2 linked regions of the Canis lupus familiaris genome follow. The protein of the gene in region 2 interacts with the protein of the main gene of each other region in a pairwise test. Links are inferred from orthologs where the notes say so. Each region holds a gene or a part of one and is shown on either strand. Other genes may lie near its edges. The genes, in order: GTF2A1 and NFYA.

Evidence for each region.
Region 1: the proteins of NFYA (region 2) and GTF2A1 interact in binary tests that used the Homo sapiens proteins (3 or more experiments, as listed by UniProt). The two-hybrid records come from large-scale screens. The link is inferred for Canis lupus familiaris from reciprocal best matches to the Homo sapiens genes NFYA and GTF2A1.

Annotation. Positions count from the first base shown.
Region 1 is NC_049229.1:53,872,109-53,876,604, forward strand, and holds the start of GTF2A1 (transcription initiation factor IIA subunit 1), read right to left. Parts: upstream 2,940-4,496; 5' UTR 2,734-2,939; coding exon 2,704-2,733; intron 1,394-2,703; exon of another isoform or gene 1,375-1,393; intron 1-1,374. UniProt on the Homo sapiens protein: TFIIA is a component of the transcription machinery of RNA polymerase II and plays an important role in transcriptional activation. TFIIA in a complex with TBP mediates transcriptional activity.
Region 2 is NC_049233.1:10,014,223-10,018,462, reverse strand, and holds the start of NFYA (nuclear transcription factor Y subunit alpha), read right to left. Parts: upstream 2,944-4,240; 5' UTR 2,863-2,943; intron 2,623-2,862; exon of another isoform or gene 2,147-2,622; intron 1,989-2,146; exon of another isoform or gene 1,845-1,988; intron 1,497-1,844; exon of another isoform or gene 1,472-1,496; intron 1-1,471. Other genes in the region: ADP-ribose glycohydrolase OARD1, read left to right, coding at 3,225-3,263, 3,847-3,991. UniProt on the Homo sapiens protein: Component of the sequence-specific heterotrimeric transcription factor (NF-Y) which specifically recognizes a 5'-CCAAT-3' box motif found in the promoters of its target genes.

The sequences.
Region 1 (4,496 bases), on a different chromosome or scaffold from region 2:
CAGACATTTACAGCTATAAAATTGCGTTCTTCTGGCACTCCCTATTTAATGAATTTATCTTGTTTTAGGATTCTGCTTATGTGCCTTAGTTAACCCACAACCTGACCATTTACCGGATTCATAAAAGCACTATAAAGGGAAATGTGTATTCTTCGCAAAGTACACATACAGAGAATAATTTAGTTGAATTGTTCCTAAGTTGATATACCCCCCAAAACTGATTTTTTTAAATACCTATTTTTTTTTAAGATTTTATCTAATTATTCATGACAGACACACAGAGAGAGAGAGAGAGAGGCAGAGACACAGGCAGAGAGAGAGAAGCAGGCTCCATGCAGGGAGCCCCACGGGGGACTCGATCCCGGGACTCCAGAATCATGCCCCAGGCCAAAGGCAGACACTTAACCACTGAGCCACCCAGGGATCCCCAAAAACTGATGTTTTTAAAAGCATGGGGGTATGCGGGTACTATCTGAAATAAGCAACTTCCAAGCTATTATTTAAAATGCTAAACCTTATTTGAATCAAAATGTTTGCCTTTTACAAAATACAAAGTAATTTAGGTTTTTCTTGGCTTTCAAAACACAGGTATTCCAAACTTAAAAAAAGGTAAATTAAAGAGCCACTAATCTCATGATTAATTAAGAGGTTCCTTTCCAAAGTGTCAGTCCCCCCACACCCCACCCCGGGGAGGCAGAATACTGGAAAAATAAACCAAATTAACTTCTATCTTGAACGTTAATATCCAATGAAATCAAAAGACAACGTCAACTTCGAATTTTAATATTTTAAAAATCCAGTTTGCACTAAGCCTCCCCTCTCATTACTCACAATTTCCCTACATACAATAGATGCACTGTGGACATAAGGTCCACACGTTGAAGCTTTAGGCACTTTATCTTCAAAAAAGCTTTGTGTCTAACATTACAGAAAAACAATGGCATATAGGAGCTTTATTTCTAACACATTTTCTGAATACTCGATGGACGAAACACTATCAGAGTCATCAAGTACCCTGCAGCTCAGAGTTAATGTAGGAAGCGGTGTTTCTGTTGTCGTTTTCTTTAAATGCCCAACAATAACGCATTTCCCAATACAAAAATGACCACAGACCTCTGAGCTACAATCCTCTTTAAAAGCAAAGATAAAAATATAAGAAGGGACAGCAATTCTGCGTTCCCCCCCCCCCCGCCCCCTCAACAAAGGCAGGAAACCCTAGCTGCTGCGTCAAAACAAACAAACAAAAAAACTTGGGGACCCCCCCCCCCCTCCGAAAGCGGCCCCGTCGGGCGCGAAATCCCAGTGGCAGCTGAAGGACCTAGATATAAACCGGGCGCTCGGCTCGCTCCTGCCTCTCGCCTCGGGAGCACGCACCTCCCAGCCCCGCTCTCAGCAGCTCTCACTATTTAAAGCCGGATCTAGTGTTTAAATGGAGAGGCGGTGACGTAGGCCTGAAAAGCACCTTCCCATCCTGGCAGAGTCTATATTAGAGAGCGGCAATGGCTCTATATAAACAGGGCAGCCAAAGGGAGGAGGACCACAAGGCTCAGGGACTCAAAAGCAGGGTAAGCGGCCGCAGCCATGATGGATCGACCCGAGTCGCCAACGGTACGGAGTCGGGCGGCCGCGGGCTCGTCTGCGGCGTTTGGGACCGGGAAAAAAAACAAAACAAAAAAACAACAAAAAAACAAAAACAAAAACGTGTTTTTACGGTCAGAATAAAAATAAGAGTGGGGTGGACTAGTGATCGCATTGGCGTTGGTGACGGACAAGGTTGTTTTTATGTGACTGCTTTTTGCAAACCTACGTGATCGCAAGTAACCAAAAAGGGACAAACGGGGGGGGGGCGGGGGGGAGACGTAGGCAAATTTCAAGGCGAAAGCAGGGGCGCTGGGACCACTGTAGGCTTTTTTGTTTGTTTGTTTGTTTGTTTGTTTGCTTTGGTGCTTTTGCTAGTGGAAGATACGATGGGGGGGGGGGGTGTTGCTTCCCCTTCGCCATTTTACCGATTCGGAAGGAACCGAGATAAGTGCTTTTCAACCTTCGTCCTTTTCTTTCCTTTTTCCTTTTTTTTTTTTTTTTTAAGAAATATAAAATGGCCTCAGTGAAGGCTCCCCCTAATAAGCACAACCGCCAGAAACATCCCAAGTAACCCCCAAAGTAGCCGTTCGCCTTCCACTGCACTGAAGTGGGCCACACGGCGGGTCCTGGGGACTCGCCCGATTCCCCAGACGCGGGTTTTGTCTGTGGAGGCTGCTCGGGGCGCCCGTGTCGAGCCGGCGCGGCCGGGCCCCCGGGGGGGGCGCAGGGGGGGAAGCGGAGGCTTCACGCCCGCCCGCCCGCCCTCCCGGCGGCCGGGGTCTGCGGCCGGAGCCGCGCGCTCGCCCCGGCCCAACGGCCTGCGCGGCCCCGACCGCCCCGCGGCGGCCCCAGGCCCCGCCGGCGCCCCCGCCCTCCTCCCGCCGCCGCCGCCGCCGCCGCCGCCGCCGCCAGCCCGAGGCGCCCTCCCCCCGCCCCCCCCGCGCCCGCCGCCCCGGCCCGCTCCGCCCGAGGCGGGAAGCGGCGGCGGCGGCGGCGGCGGCGGCCGCGCGGGCGGCTGAGGAGAGTAGAGGCCGGGAGTCGCCGCCGTCCCCGCCCCCGCCCGGTCCGGCCGTTGCTGCCGCCCGGACGAAGCCCCCGCCGGCCACCAAACCACGTCCTTACCACGGTGTTTGTATTTGCCGAGTTCGCCATTTCCACACACAACACAAACAAGAGGGGGGGCAACCCCGAGAAAACAAGATTAAAAACAAAAAACCAAAAAGAAAAAAAAGAAAACCAAAACACCCGGAGGGTGGCCCAAGCCACCGCAAGATTGGGGGTAAAAATTTCAAACAAAATCGAATCCTGAAAGAGTAGAAGGGGAGCGGTGAGAGGAGGAGGAGGAGGAAGAGGAGGAGGGGGGCAGTCCTCCCCGAGCTAAAAACCTCGAGAATCGCCCTTAAAAAAAAAAAAAAAAAAAAAAAAAAAAAAAAAAAAAAGCCACGACCCTTCTGGGGTCCGGGGGGGCGTTGCCCGCTCCCCACCCCGCGCCAAGGAGGGAAACCACCACCGGTCGCCGCTCCCCGCGCCGCCGCTGCCGCCACCGGCTGCAGCTCCAGCCGTCCGGTCCGCCCGCTTCTCCCCTTTATATAGTGAGCCAACGAGCTGCGCGAGCCGCCGCCGCCGCCGCTGCCGCCGAGAGACAGGGCGGAGGGGGAGGGAGGGGCGGAAAGGGCGGGGGCAGAGGTGGGCGGGGCTGAGCGCGAGACACCGCGAGAGCCGCGTGCGCAGGCGCGCCGGGGCGGAGGCCGCCGTGGGCCGCGTCGTCACGCGCAGCGGAGGGTGCTGGGCTGGCGGAGCGCGGGGACTGGGGTAGTCGAGTCGTCCGGCCGGCTCCCCAAGTCTCGCGTGATCACCTGGTTGCCACCCAGGCGGAAGTGCCCCACAGCTGTTTTAGGCTGAGGGGCTTGCAAAGTATCGCTGGACATAGCATGAGTGGTGTTGACCCTCAAGTCCAAAGCTACCTGGCAGCCAACTCTTGTCAGGTGTTTCTGCGTCTCCCTGCGCTTGGAGAAGCGAGGAAATACAGAAGGGGCGCTGGCGGCTGCCTCGTTAGCAATGGCTGCGGAGGCGGACCGGTCACGTGGCCCCGCTTCCGGCCCCCGGAGCGCTCGGACTCCGGGCAGAGTTTAAATGCGGAGTCATCTCGGGGCGTGAGCTCGTCGTGGACTCGGCGCTCAGAGGCGTCGGTTCCTCTCGCGTCGCGAAGGCCGGGCCCTTCGCCGGCAAGATCGTGTACGTGTTCCTAAAGGGGGAGAGCTGCTTTGAGCCCGCTGCTAACACATTTCAGAATTAATGACCCCTGAACCGGCTGAGTCGTTTCCACCGGTACAGCTAAAAGGCCCTGGGCTTAAGTTTCCCCGAGGTTCGGCCCCTTACTAGCGTGCTAGTACTTCCGTGGTGGAAATGCCGAAAGGAAAAAAAGAAAAAAAAAAAAAAAACCGACCTGCATATCACCGGATTATGACAGCACGATAACGTCCCCCCTCGATTTTTAAAAACTGCCGAAATCCTGTGACCGCATGGCCCGCGCCTGGGACTGACAGGAAATACCTCGGTGGGGCCGCCCCGTCTCGCGGCCTCTCGCCGCCGGAGCGAGCAGAGGAAGCCCACGTGTCGGAGTGTGAACCAGGAGGCGCCGGACCTGCGCTGCTCCCGACTCCCGCCTTCGGGGCAGCGTGTCACGCAGAACGGGGAGTGCTCCGCTTCGAAGGCAGAGCTCGCCGCACCTAATTCTGCCCCTAGGAACTTGGAGAGACGTGGACTGTAGTCCGGGCAAGTGAAGGAGTGGATCCTCCTCGCAAAGCAAAACGAAATGTCAAAGTTCGTATGCCACCGAAAGTATATTTGGGGAAATAATCAAAGGCGATGTACGAGAGAGGAAAAGCTGCAACCTGCCAGGACCTGCAGGAAGA
Region 2 (4,240 bases):
ACCTACTCTACCGGCCAAGACTATAGTAGGTGCTTCACAGGACTAACAGCTTTTAAAGTCCTAGGAGAAAAATCTTTCTTTCTTCCCCCAAAGTCAGCTGCTGTTGTGGAGCAGAAGCCCACAGGTCAGAAACTTTTTTTTTCCAATCCTGGAAAAAAATACACTTTGAGATTACTTCCATCTGAACCTCCAAAAGATAACTGCTTCTGAAAATCCCTAATCAAGATATACAGGTGCTTTTACCAATTAGTCTTTCCAGCCTAAATTCTTCCCCCTTAAACACAGCATAATTTGGTATCTCTGGACATCCTCTTCTTCTCTCTGTGCCTAATGCTCTTCCATTCTTTCCTGTCGGAAAAAATCCTATTGTCTGTCCTTCAAGGCCAATGGAAAGTGTGGCAACATCGAATCTTCCACCAAGGCTGTTAGGAGCTCACACACCAGTACTTCACAGAACTGAACTTGGCCTCATTATAGCACTAACTGTTAAATATTAATTAGCTGTCCACTTGTTAATCCACCAGGCAGGCAAGGTTCTTACTGACCTCTATCTGCTTCCTCCCCAGCATATAGATTGATGCTTGGTACATACTAACTGCTAGAGACATGGCTGTCAATGGAGATTTCGTCTCACCCTAACAGAAAACCCCACAATATTGTTAACGCTCTATAAATACCTACTTGGAAAACATTAACAGGGAGTTACAAAGTATGCTAGAAAAAAAATAATAAATCAAGAGACGGCTGTGGACTGCACTAATGGGTCAAACCTGACACGTGCAAAGTGAAAGGGGAAAAAAAAGAAAGAAAGAAATCTGCATTCCCAAAGGAGGGAGAGTCCGCCAGAGGAGCGAAGGAGAAAACTAGTAATACGAGAAACAAGTTGTGCGTGCAGCCTCCGGGAAAAGGAACGCGCAGGGCTGGCAATCTTCTAAGAGTGAGAGGTTGCAGGCACCCAGTGGACTGGCCGGCTGCACGGCCGGGACAAGAAAGGGAGACCGCTTGGTCGGACTCCAAGACGGAGGTGTGCGGTTCTTTCCCGGGCGAGCGGGGCGGGGAGAAGAGGAAATGACGAGCCAAAAGGGGGTGGTAACGGCGCCGGGCCGGAGCCCCGGGCCGAGCGTGCGGAGAGGAGGGGCGCGGCGGGGCCGGGGAGTGGGCGCGCCAACCGACCCCCTCCCGCGACCCCGGGGCCGGCGCGGCGGGCCCGCTCCCTCTCCCCGCCGCGGTCAGGGCCCCGTGGCCGCGGCGCGCACCTTCCCCGGGGCCTCACTCGCGACCCGGGGCCGGGGTGGGGGCGGGGGCGGGGGGGGGGGGCAGGCCAGCAGACCCGGCTCCCGGGGAGCCAGGGATGGCGGGGCCCCCGGAAGGTCGCCCGCCCCGAGGGCCAGAGCACGGAGGGGGCCAGGGCGGACTTGAGTGTGAGGCCGGGGCGATCTGGAGGAGACCAAGGCCCCGGGCGTGCGTGGACCTGGGCGGAGGGGCGCTGGTGGCAAGCGGGCCCACGAACCCCGAGCCTGGGGCCTGACAACTGGGCCTGAAGAGCCCAAGAAAGCGGGCGCATCCCCAACGGCACAGGCCCCCTGCAAGGGTCTGGACCCCGAGCTGCTCGCTCCGAGGGCGCCGTCCCCGCGCGGGGCGGCCCCCTGCAGGCCCCGGCCGGGAGTGGCCCGGGGCACTCCCAGGCCCCGGGCCCGGGCCGCCGGCCGCCCCGCTCGGCTGGGCTCAGCGAGACTCCCGGGGCTCGACGGGCGCCTGGGCCTCTCCTGAGTGGTCAGCGAGACCCGCCAATCGGGGCGCTGGGGCCGGCTCTGGGCCGCTGGATATTGGCTCCTCACACTCACCGTGCCTCGCTCCCCCGGTTCGCTGCCCGCGCTGATTGGCTCCAGTACCGGACCCCGAAACCCAATCAGAGGCTCCAGCCGCCGCTGCCGCCGCCACTGCCGCTGCCTCGCAAAATGGCGAACCCGAACAAAGGGGAATCGGGCCTCCCTCCAACCGCCTCCGCGCAGGCGCCTCGGAGACCACGCCCCCTAACCCCAGCAGCGGGCTCGCCCCACCCCCCGTTGGAGGAGCATCGCGCAGGCGTGCCGCGGAGCCACGCCCACTTCTCTGATTTGACACCGCCGCGGGCTGGAGGAACACGCAGGCGCCTTCGAGAGGCGCCAGATCCTTGAACTCAAACGCCGCCCTCGACATAGCACTACGCAGGCGCTAACTAGCGCCTTTGCCAACTGCCCACCCCTTTCGCTGCGGTCGCTGGAGACACCCCCCCCCCGGGGGCTAATGCGCAAGCGCCGTTCTTCCCCCACTCGCGGTGGGCTGTCTCGTTACGCATGCCCGGGCGGCGGCGGGACATTCCACGGATCTTACCGCCGGAAGTTCGGCGGCCATTACCAAAGAGTACGGGCTCGGCGGGCCAGCTAGAGGGGCTTGTTTCCGCCCCGCTCCCGCGCGGCGGGCGGCCATCTTACGTGCGCGCAATATAGGGCTGCGGCGGGATTGGCTCCGCGTCGGGGGTCCGTGCGCGGCTTCCCACCTACCAGGGCCGGATCCCGAGCCCTTCCCCGCGGGGCGGGACCTCGCAACGGCCGACTCCTGACCCGGTGGAGGGTAACCCCGGTACGTCGAGGCTCCGAGCGGGCCTTCCCGCTCTTGCCCACGGGACCCCTCGCTGGCCGCCCTCGGGGTGGGAGGCGGGGTGGCAGGCCTCGCTTGGCCGCCTTCGCCTGCGCCTTCCCGGAGAGGCCGCTTCCCGCGTCCCCCGCGTCCCCCGCGTCCCCCGCGTCCCCCGCCCTCCGGCCCGGACGCTCAGCGGGACTGTGGCCAAGCCCCTCCCTTTCTCTTCCCGGCCAGACCCACCGGGGGAAATAGGCTTGGGTCGTGCCGAGAAGAGGAGACTGCCCCAAGCCCGCCGCGCCCGGGAGCGGACAAGGGAGGCGGCGCCTCGCGGGGCCCGCCTCTCGGCCGACGACAGCGCGGAAAGCGAGCGGGCCCGGCCGCCTCTGCCCCCGCCCCCGCCCCCGCCCGGCTCGGCCCTTGCCCCAGCAGAGCTTCGCATCCCGTCCCCGAGGCCCAGCGACAAGTGGTGCGGGAAGGCATCACCAGCCAAATGGGTGGTCAGGGCGCTTTGTAGTATATCGAGGCCGCCTAAGCATTGTTCCTTCCTTTTCCCTTCTCAGCTGGAGAAACCCCTTAAGTTCTGGGAATAGCGACTCCGTATCATGGCCGGCAGCCCTCATGAAGATGCGGAAGGAAGCAGAGTGCGTAGCGACTGTTAACTTATTGGTGAACAGAAATTCAGAGTAATTGAGGTCAAAAGCATAAACACTTTTTAATTAAAGCCATAATCGAATTGTCTCTCACTCTCTCTTTTTTATTTTCTTCCCTACCTTCTCCAGCTGTTTTGCTTCAAAAAGGCTGAAAGAGTCCGGGCAGAGACCCCATCCATCACTTTGCTTTTACACATTCTTTAGTTTGTGGTGGTTGACTCCCTTAAGTTCTGCAGATCTGGTTTTCATTTTTATTTTTTTTATTTATTTGTAACTTTTAAAGATTTTATTTACTTAATCATGAGAGACCCCGAGAGGGGCGGAGACACAGGCAGGGGGAGAGGCAGGCTCTTTGGGAGCCCAAGGCTGGGACCCAATCCCAGGATGCTGGGATCACCCCCTGAGCCAAAGGCAGAGAGAGGCTCAACCACCGAGCCACCCAGGCGACCCTGTGGATCTGGTTTTCAATCGAGGAGGGGTAGAGGTGGGGGACGCAGTCAAGGGAAATGAAAGAACTAGGCTTAGTGTTTTTCTGTATCAAATAAAACCTCTTCTTTCCCTTTTCACATTTTAGATCACTTATGTGAAAGGAGACCTTTTTGCATGCCCCAAAACAGACTCTTTAGCCCACTGTATCAGTGAGGATTGTCGAATGGGTGCTGGGATAGCTGTCCTCTTCAAGAAGAAATTTGGAGGGGTGCAGGAACTGTTAAACCAACGTGAGTTTTGAAAAACAGCTCAATTAGTGTGCCTTGTGTAGAGCAGCATCATGGCCTCCTGTTATATTTTAAATATTAGACCAGGATATACATATTGAGGCGGGGCGGGGGGAGGGGGGGGGGGTTGGTTTCCTAACCACTGAGTACTTGTAACTCTTCAGATTAAGGTATTCCTCTACAAAAATGGCCTCTAGTTTGGGTCTTAACCACACCAAACTTGAATTCTTGTAAAGGTTTTTAATCTCTTCC